2 linked regions of the Mus musculus genome follow. The protein of the gene in region 1 binds, or shares a complex with, the protein of each later gene. Links are inferred from orthologs where the notes say so. Each region holds a gene or a part of one and is shown on either strand. Other genes may lie near its edges. The genes, in order: Ptpn3 and Mapk12.

What was found.
Region 2: the proteins of Ptpn3 (region 1) and Mapk12 are in contact, whole or in part, in a crystal structure (PDB 4QUM), measured with the Homo sapiens proteins. The link is inferred for Mus musculus from reciprocal best matches to the Homo sapiens genes PTPN3 and MAPK12. Residues at the interface, in NP_002820.3 of Homo sapiens: Arg655, Leu671, Asn674, Arg675, Tyr676, Lys677, Asp678, Val679, Arg751, His812, Ser843, Ala844, Gly845, Ile846, Gly847, Arg848, Met883, Gln886, Thr887; in NP_002960.2 of Homo sapiens: Met182, Thr183, Gly184, Tyr185, Val186, Val187, Arg189.

What each region holds. Positions count from the first base shown.
Region 1 is NC_000070.6:57,297,340-57,301,699, reverse strand, and holds the start of Ptpn3 (tyrosine-protein phosphatase non-receptor type 3), read left to right. Parts: upstream 1-1,330; 5' UTR 1,331-1,419; exon of another isoform or gene 1,420-1,961; intron 1,962-4,360.
Region 2 is NC_000081.6:89,133,919-89,137,723, reverse strand, and holds part of Mapk12 (mitogen-activated protein kinase 12), read left to right. Parts: intron 1-264; coding exon 265-323; intron 324-2,035; coding exon 2,036-2,147; intron 2,148-2,267; coding exon 2,268-2,297; intron 2,298-2,553; coding exon 2,554-2,601; intron 2,602-2,997; coding exon 2,998-3,112; intron 3,113-3,805. UniProt on the Homo sapiens protein: Serine/threonine kinase which acts as an essential component of the MAP kinase signal transduction pathway.

The sequences.
Region 1 (4,360 bases):
AAAGGTTCTCGGGATATCTAGCACCCAGGTCCGACCATAGAATCCTAACCATCTCTCCATCCTTTTGTTATCATATTCATTCAACAAAACGTTTTTAGTTCTTACTGGAAGCCAAGCGTCGTTTAGAGGCTGGGTCTCTTGAGAGGCGGAGTTACCGAGCTGACACAGAGGGGAGGTACTCCTTAAGGGGGAAATCTAAGTCGCGAGAGACAGCCGGCAACATACTCCAGCAGCCCCTCCGCTCGCCCTTCCGTTTCACGGGCACAAAGCTTGCGCTCGTTTTGTTTTGAGGTTTTTTTGTTTTTGTTTTTGTTTTGTTTTTGCACCGGCTTTATCGTCCCAAGAAAGCTTCCTTGTTTAGCTGCGTGACTGAATGGTATTTGTCACCTGATCTGGTTGTTCCACCAGCTCTCACCGGGCCACCCCCTATCTTTCTTGCCTGGCTCCTTTCCCCTGTTCTTAGAATTTATCACCTAATACCCTGCGTTGTTTACGGACCTGTTGTTTGTTGCGAGAAAGTCCCTTCTAAACTCCCAACAAGGGGCAGAGATTTTGTCTATATATTAAGTGTGAAGAACGTAAGTAACTGTTGAATGGATAAGTGATACATGCTTGGAGTGCGGTAATGGACTTGGAGAGGGAGCAAGAGGTCAGGGCTAATTTAGAAAGGTAGCCAGAAAGGTCTCTCCTACAAGAGGCACCTGAATGGTGAGAGGGCTCGAAACACCAGCAAAGCAGGGCAAAAGACGTCCTACCTCGAGGGAAAGGCAGTGTAAAGGTCTCCAGGCGGGTCAAGTTCAGAGGGTATGATGGGGAGGAAGGTGCAGTCGGAGCGCAGGAAGACAGGTGTGGGAGGAGGCGGAAGAGGCCGGCTGGAACGCCCGCCACTAGGGGCCCTATAGGCTTTGGGAAGGGCTAACCTGCCTGGTGTCCTAGGACCAGCAAAGGAGCCCTGCGACCCCCAACTCAGCCACGGAGCCGCTGGAGTCAGCGAGACCCCCAACTCAGCCACGAAGCCACCGCGCAAGGCTCGCTGTCATTTCAGATTCGTTGAGCGCCAAGCCCTTGCCATTCTTAGGCATGCAATCCGGGAAAGCCAGGCACACAGTAGGTGTTCAATAAATGCTAAAAGCACGAATGGCTGCGTGCGTGAGCCAGGGGACCTGGAGGTCTGCGGGAGTTTGGCAGGTGGTCTGCGGAGGCCAGTGGCAGCGTCCCACGAGTTTGCCCCGGGCCCGCCCCTGTCCCGGGTCCCCCGCCCCGCGCGCGGGCCCGTCGCGGCCACAGCCGGGCCGGCGGGAGCCGCCCGCGGGCTGCACTGGGCATGCTCAGACGGCGGCCAGGTCGCGGCGCGAGCGAGCTTCAGTGCCGCCCGCCCGCGCGACCTACCTGGGCGCCCCGCGCCCCCGGATGCTGCAGGTATGGGAGACTGGGTCCTCTGCGGGGAGGGTCGGAGCGCGGGCTGCTGCGATCGCGGACACGCGGGGCTTACCCAACCCCCACCCGGTCCGGGGCTCGGCGGACACGCGGGAGGACTAGCGGTTGAGCTGGTAGCCCCAGGTCTCCGCGCCACGTCGGGCATCCGGGGGGCGCAGGCCCGGATCACCTGGCGGGGCTGGGGCGGGGCGCGGGCGTGGGCGGCAAAAGGCTGGGCGTTCTGGACGCAGCGGCGCGGGCGTGGGCGTGCGCTCCAGTCTGGCCGAGCCCTGGGCTTGGCGCCGAGGTATCCGCAGCCCGGCAGAGGGGGCGCACCGCTGCGGGGATCCAGCTCTCCGCGGTCCCCGAAGCTCAGCCACCCGGGGCGAATTCCCCTTCAGATTGCAAAGATGGCATTTCCTGGGCCTGGCACGAACTCCAGTGCCAAACCAATCCGCCCCGTTCCGCGGGCGACCGGGGTGGCTTCTCTGGTAACTTGCGGTGTGACACTGCTGCGTTGTGCAGGGAGAGAGCGCGCCCGGAAACCCCCGCCCCCGGTTGCTGCCTCCTAAACTTATTACGAACTTGAGGGTTGCCTTTAAAAAATTCATGAGAAGTTAAGATAACTTGACACCTGGGTGTTCCGTGAAGGTACAGGGAACTTGTGGTTGGGAAACTCTAGACCTAGGTTCAAGTTGGGCTCTTCCCCTTGGCCAGCTGGTGACCTTGGACGAGTCGTTTAACCTCTCTGATCCTCCATTTCCTCCACTGCACGCAGGCAGCAATAATGCCCACCTCGCCTGGTTGGTGGTGGATTAAGTAGGATAAATGGTGTGGAGGTGTTTGGCTCCGTGCCCGGCATAAAGCAAGCGAGCAGTTGGCGTGATGTGATTTTAATTCAGTTAGAGACCCTCATGGCTCCCATTTTGTCAGGAAGGTAGAATTAGGCAGTCATTTTCTGGGTCTGTGTTTGTGCCCAGGAGAACGTCTGCTGAGGCTTTGAAAAAAGCAACTCCACAGAGCGGTGGTGAGCTGCTCTTGTTTAATGGCAGTCTTTGTGAGTTCCGAAACTCCAGAAGTTGACACTCGGGCCTCACAGAAAGAACTATTTTTGCAAGATGATCCATCTTGCAAATGTCGAAGCGGATGAATTGGAAATCCTGGTTGGGAAAAAGATGCATATTCTGCAAAGCTCTCATGCTTAACCTTATGTTTTTGGATTGGGGAGCGGGGGTCTCTTAGCTTCTCACAGCGGGTTTGATCGTTCTTTGTGGTGGCTGCTCCTTGTGCATTACAGAGTGCCCAAAAGCCTCTGCTCAGTAGGTTCCAGTAGCAGCCTGCTTCCGACCGTGCCTACCAGGAATGCCTCTATATAGTGTCTGGGTTGAAGTGCCTCACCACCTCCACCCCTCCCCCACCCCACCCCCCGTGTCGTCCCTCTTTCCCCTTTTAGTAGAATTAACTGAGTGAGATAGCCTCCGCCTTCTGTGTAACCTAGGCTAAATGAGGATTTCATCTGGACTTTTGTTTTCTTTTTTTTCAATGATAATATCGAACCTTTGCAGTCACCTTGCAGAGCTGTGCTAGGTATGTGGACTATCTCATTTCAGTTTTACAGGTCTCCCTCTGAGACTGGTGTCACGATCCCATTTTATAGAGGAAGACATTGAGGCTCTGAGCAGGCAACTGTACCGTCCTGGGTATGACTGGGATGGAGGAAACCATGCTTCTGGTTCTGGGGGCAGAGCTTTTTCTTCTGGATAAGACTGCCATGTGTGTCTTACACAGATGTCTTTCCCGATGATTAAATCAAGATCTAGATTGTATTGGAAAACGGAAGCCTTCCTGAGATTGACTAGTTGAAAATTAACAATGGTAAGCTATTTTCTGACTGAGAGTAGGCCATTCTAGTTAAATATTCTAGTATATGAGCGCTCCCATAAATCCCAGCACACAGTTAATGGAATACCAGTCTGCCGAGAATTAGAATAGAATAAAACATGCCTATTACTCTATATTGATCTGTGTTGTCCCTGGTGATTTGTCTCATCCACAGACTAGTGTATGCAAATTAGACCTGAGTGGCAGACTGGAGGTTACTGAGGGCATTTAGAAGAGCTGAGGCATGTCTATGAGCAGATGTTTCTGTTTGCAGATGCAGGGCTGTGGGTAGGCAAACATGGTGAATAAGCCAAGGGACCCCCCCCCCCAACCTGGAATCCAGGGTATCTTTCATCCAGCTCAGGTCAGATCTGTAATGGGCCTTAGTGTGACTCTGGACTCCCAGCTAACCAAGATCTCAGCTTGAAGCCCTCACTTTACCTGATCTCACAGCAAAGGTGTGGTAGTTTTTAATATGTTTGTTGAGGTCTCGACTCCCTGCCAGTAAGACAAGGTCAGAGACAGATCTTATCCCAGAAAGAAATCGAGGTTGTAGGTTGGCCGTTGGTCTCAGTCCTGGGATGGGAATTGCTCTCAGTTTTTGTTGGCTGTGACCTGGAAGTTTAATTACAGTGTTGTGCCCTCCCCTCCAACACACACCACACATATGTGAGCTGGCAAAGGCAGTGAGAACAGAAGTAAGAGGACTCATTGTGGCCGTCTAAGCTACATACAGGTCTGTGGGTGCAAGAGGCACTGTTTTCTAAGATGGGTCTAACTTGCTGGAGGAGCCCAAAGACGTGGCATACACTCTTCCCTTTCAGTTCCCAGGGACTGGCATGTTGGGAAGGGATCGGTGATTTGTGGTCCCCCCTCTCGACCATAATTACAGGGCTCACTCTCCTACATCAGTCAATTCCTGGAAAGCAAAGCCTGCCCCTTTTTCTCTCCTCAGGCTCTGCCAGGGCTGGAGTGCTGGTGGTACCCTAGCCTGGCTCAGCTAGTGGGTGTGTGGGCCAATCCTCTGGGACCTTTCCCTCATTTTGCAGATGAGAGAGGACTG
Region 2 (3,805 bases), on another chromosome or scaffold:
CTCAGAGGCCTGGAGCCAACCCAGACCTGAGACTGCCCCTCCCCCCACCCCCTGAGAATCCCGGCTGTCAGCCTCCAAAAATAGCCTGTGTCTGTGGGCAAATGTACCAGGATGGGGGCTGAGCCGACAGTGGAGACAGTAGAGGAGACAGGGATAGTTATGGGAGGGAGGATTTTCAGCCTGGAGTACAGTGCCATCCCGGGGGTGCACTGAGGCCCTGCAGCTCCCGTGTGCTCTCTATCCCGTCTGCTACTTGTTCTTCAGGTCATTGGGCTACTGGATGTGTTCACACCTGATGAGTCTCTGGACGACTTCACAGACTTGTAAGTGCTAGTGGCTGAGAGGGTGGCAGGAACCTGGGTGGCTTCTCGGTGTCAGCTTAAGATCCTGGGTCAGGTTGAGGACCTTCTCCCCATAGCCCAGCGGTTCTCAACCTTCCCAATGCTGTGACCCTTTAATACAGTTTCTCATGTCCTGGTGGCCCCCCCAGCCAGAAGATTGTTTAGTTGCTACTTCATAATGGTACTTTTTTTTTTGGGGGGGGGGGTCCGAGACAGGGTTTCTCTGTGTAGCCCTGGCTGTCCTGGAACTCACTCTGTAGACCAGGCTGGCCTCGAACTCAGAAATCCGCCTGCCTCTGCCTCCCAAGTGCTGGGATTAAAGGCGTGCGCCACCACTGCCCTGCATAACTGTACTTTTGCTACTGATAGAAATTGTATTAGAAATGATATGTAGGATATCTGATAAGGGACAAGCCCCCCTCCCCCCAGGGAGTCATAGCCCATGTAAGGAATAGGGTGCACACTGCCCACCCACTCCTCTTACCACAGTCTATACCCCACTCCTATATGCTCCTGGGAGCCATGAACTTGTGTGAGTGATAATACCATTTTTCCTTGTGTATCCCTCCATCTATCTTAACATCCCTCTGACCTAGATGCCTTGCCGCTCCAACCCCTGCCCCATATTCCTGGTTACCCTATGTGTGGCAGGAGGGGCCTAGGCAGCTCCTGGGTACCAGCTTCAGGTTCTAAGTTGGCTTGAGTTCTTCTTCCCATGGCCCAAGTGAGGACTGAGATGTATACCTGCTCATTCACATCTCATCATAACCCATGTACTATTGGTAACCCCTGGATACTGGGATGCCCTAGTAAAGCCAGACTGTCTATCCTTCTAAGCCTGGGGAGTTTTGGGTCCTCACAGTGCCTGAGGTATTGGTATAACTAAGCAATCTAAGGTGCCAATATCAGGTGCAGCCTCAGCCGCTCACCCTGCATGTTGGGAATTTTAAAACCCTGAGGTGGCCTGTGGTGGCACACACACTTGCAATCCCAGCATTTGGGAGATAGAGCTAGGAGGGACAGGATTCCAAGGCTATTTTGGCCTGCCTGAGACCCTCTCTCCAAAAACAAAAGCAAGGGCTGGAGAGATGGTTCAGTGGTTAAGAGCCCTGACTGCTCTTCCAAGAGCACGTGGGTTTGATTCCCAGCGCCTATCTGGTAGCTCACAGCTTCTGCAACTCTAGTCCCAGAAGAGTTGATATCATCTTTTGGTCTCTGTGAGCACTGTACATGGCGTGGTCCACGGATACACGTGGAGGCAAAGCATCCAAAAAATAAAATAAAGACAAGACAAGGCTGATGGTAGTGGTGCAAGCCTTTAATTCCAGCACTTAGATGACAGAGGTAGAGGCAGATAGCTCTCTTTGAATTTGAGGCCATCCTGGTCTACACGGTGAGTTTCAGGCCAGACAGGACTGCAGAGTGAGACCTTTCCTCAAAAACAAACAGAGAGCCCTCAAACCCAAACAAAATACCCCTGACACACAGCCCACTCCTTGCTTGCCGTTCTGGAAAGAGGGGATGTGGGCATGGGTTGAGAGGTGTAATTGTCAAGGACAGTGTGCCCAGAGGGTGGGTTGTGGTCTAGCACGGCATGGTAGGGGTAGAAACATCATAGGATGGTATGACCCCCCCCCCCCCATTGCTAGTGATGAATGGACACTCTAGGGTAATGATTTGGTGGGCTTCTGCAGCTACCTGGTGATGCCATTCATGGGCACTGATCTGGGCAAACTCATGAAGCATGAGACCCTGAGTGAAGACAGAATCCAGTTTCTTGTGTATCAGATGTTGAAGGGGCTGAAGGTAGGCTTTGCAGAGGTGGCCATAGGGAGGCGGACAGAGCTTCCCGTTTGGGCAGGGTAAGGGCTCTGTGGCTTGGAGTATCCCTGAGCTGACTGCTGCTGAACTCTTTCTTTCCCCCAGTATATCCATGCGGCTGGTGTCATCCACAGAGTGAGTCCTGGCGGGGCTGGGAGATTGCAGCTGGGCTCCTCTCCAGCTGTGTAGACAGATGTGCTCAACCCCAGTGCCCATGGCTTAACTATGAAGGGCAAGATAGGTCTGTGGTGGGGATGCTTTCCCTGGGGACCAGGAAAGCCCCTCTTGCTCTTCCCCAGAGGGACCAGGCCAGTTTTAGGTGGCCCTAATAATGTGCAGCCTGAGCCCTGCTCTGGCAGGTGGGTCATAGTGGCCACCTTTCTTCTCTCAGGACTTGAAGCCTGGCAACCTGGCTGTGAATGAGGACTGTGAGCTGAAGGTATCGCTGGGAGGGGAAGATGACCACGGAAGGGGTTGGGGGACCCCTTCTACTTCCCCTATGGGTCTGCTTGACCCTTGGCCGAGGCAAAGGGACAGAACTCAGACATTTGTGCAGAGGCTGAGCAGCTATTAGGCAAAGAGTGGCTGAATATCCCTAGTCACTCAGGGCTCCTAAAGGTGATTAGGGGACGGTGAAACAGAAGAAAACCTTTGGCATTTGACCTGAGGTGGGTAGGGCCAGGTGTACTGACCACAGGGAGAATCCTGGGGGCGCAAGACCAAAGGGTGGCAAACAGTTTAGCGTAGAAACTCAAGCCCAGCTCTCTTAAGGTCTTCTGGACCATATCTGGTCTATCCTCAGTGTCTAAGTTCCACCTCCTCGATACTTCTTTAGATCCTAGACTTTGGCCTTGCCAGGCAGGCAGACAGTGAGATGACAGGATATGTGGTAACCCGGTGGTATCGGGCACCAGAGGTCATCTTGAATTGGATGCGCTACACGCAGACAGGTAAGAGGCTATCCAGAGACTCCAGTGCACACCATCCACATTTACACATTCATTGTATTTTAAAATTATTTTTGTAGTATCGGGGATGGAACCCAGAGTCTTATTCATGCTAGACAAATGTCCTGTCACTGAGTTACATCTCAGTCCGTCTGTCTGTCTGTCTGTCTGTCTGTCTGTCTTTCTTTCTTTCTTTCTTTCTTTCTTTCTTTCTTTCTTTCTTTCTTTCTTTCTTTCTTTCTTTCGTTCTTTCTTCCTTCCTTCCTTCCTTCCTTCCTTCCTTCCTTCCTTTCTCTTCCTTCTTCCTTCCTTCCTTCCTTCCTTCCTTCCTTCCTTCCTCCCTCCCTCCCTCCCTCCCTCCCTCCCTCCCTCTCTCTCTCTCTCTCTCTCTTTCTTTCTTTCTTTCTTTCTTTCTCTCCTTCCTTCCTTCCTTCTTTTTGAGAAAGAATATATATGTGTATGTATGTATATGTATATTTGGTATGGTTTGGTTGCTTTGAAGACAGGGTCTTACTATATAGCTCTGGCTATTTCTGGAACTCTCTGTAGGCCAGGCTGGCCTCGAACTCACAGAGATCCACTTGCCTCTGCCTCCTTCCTTCCTTCCTTCCTTCCTTCCTTCCTTCCTTCCTTCCTTCCTTCCCCCCTCTCTTTCTTTTTACCTACCTTCCTTCCTTCCTTCCTTCCTTCCTTCCT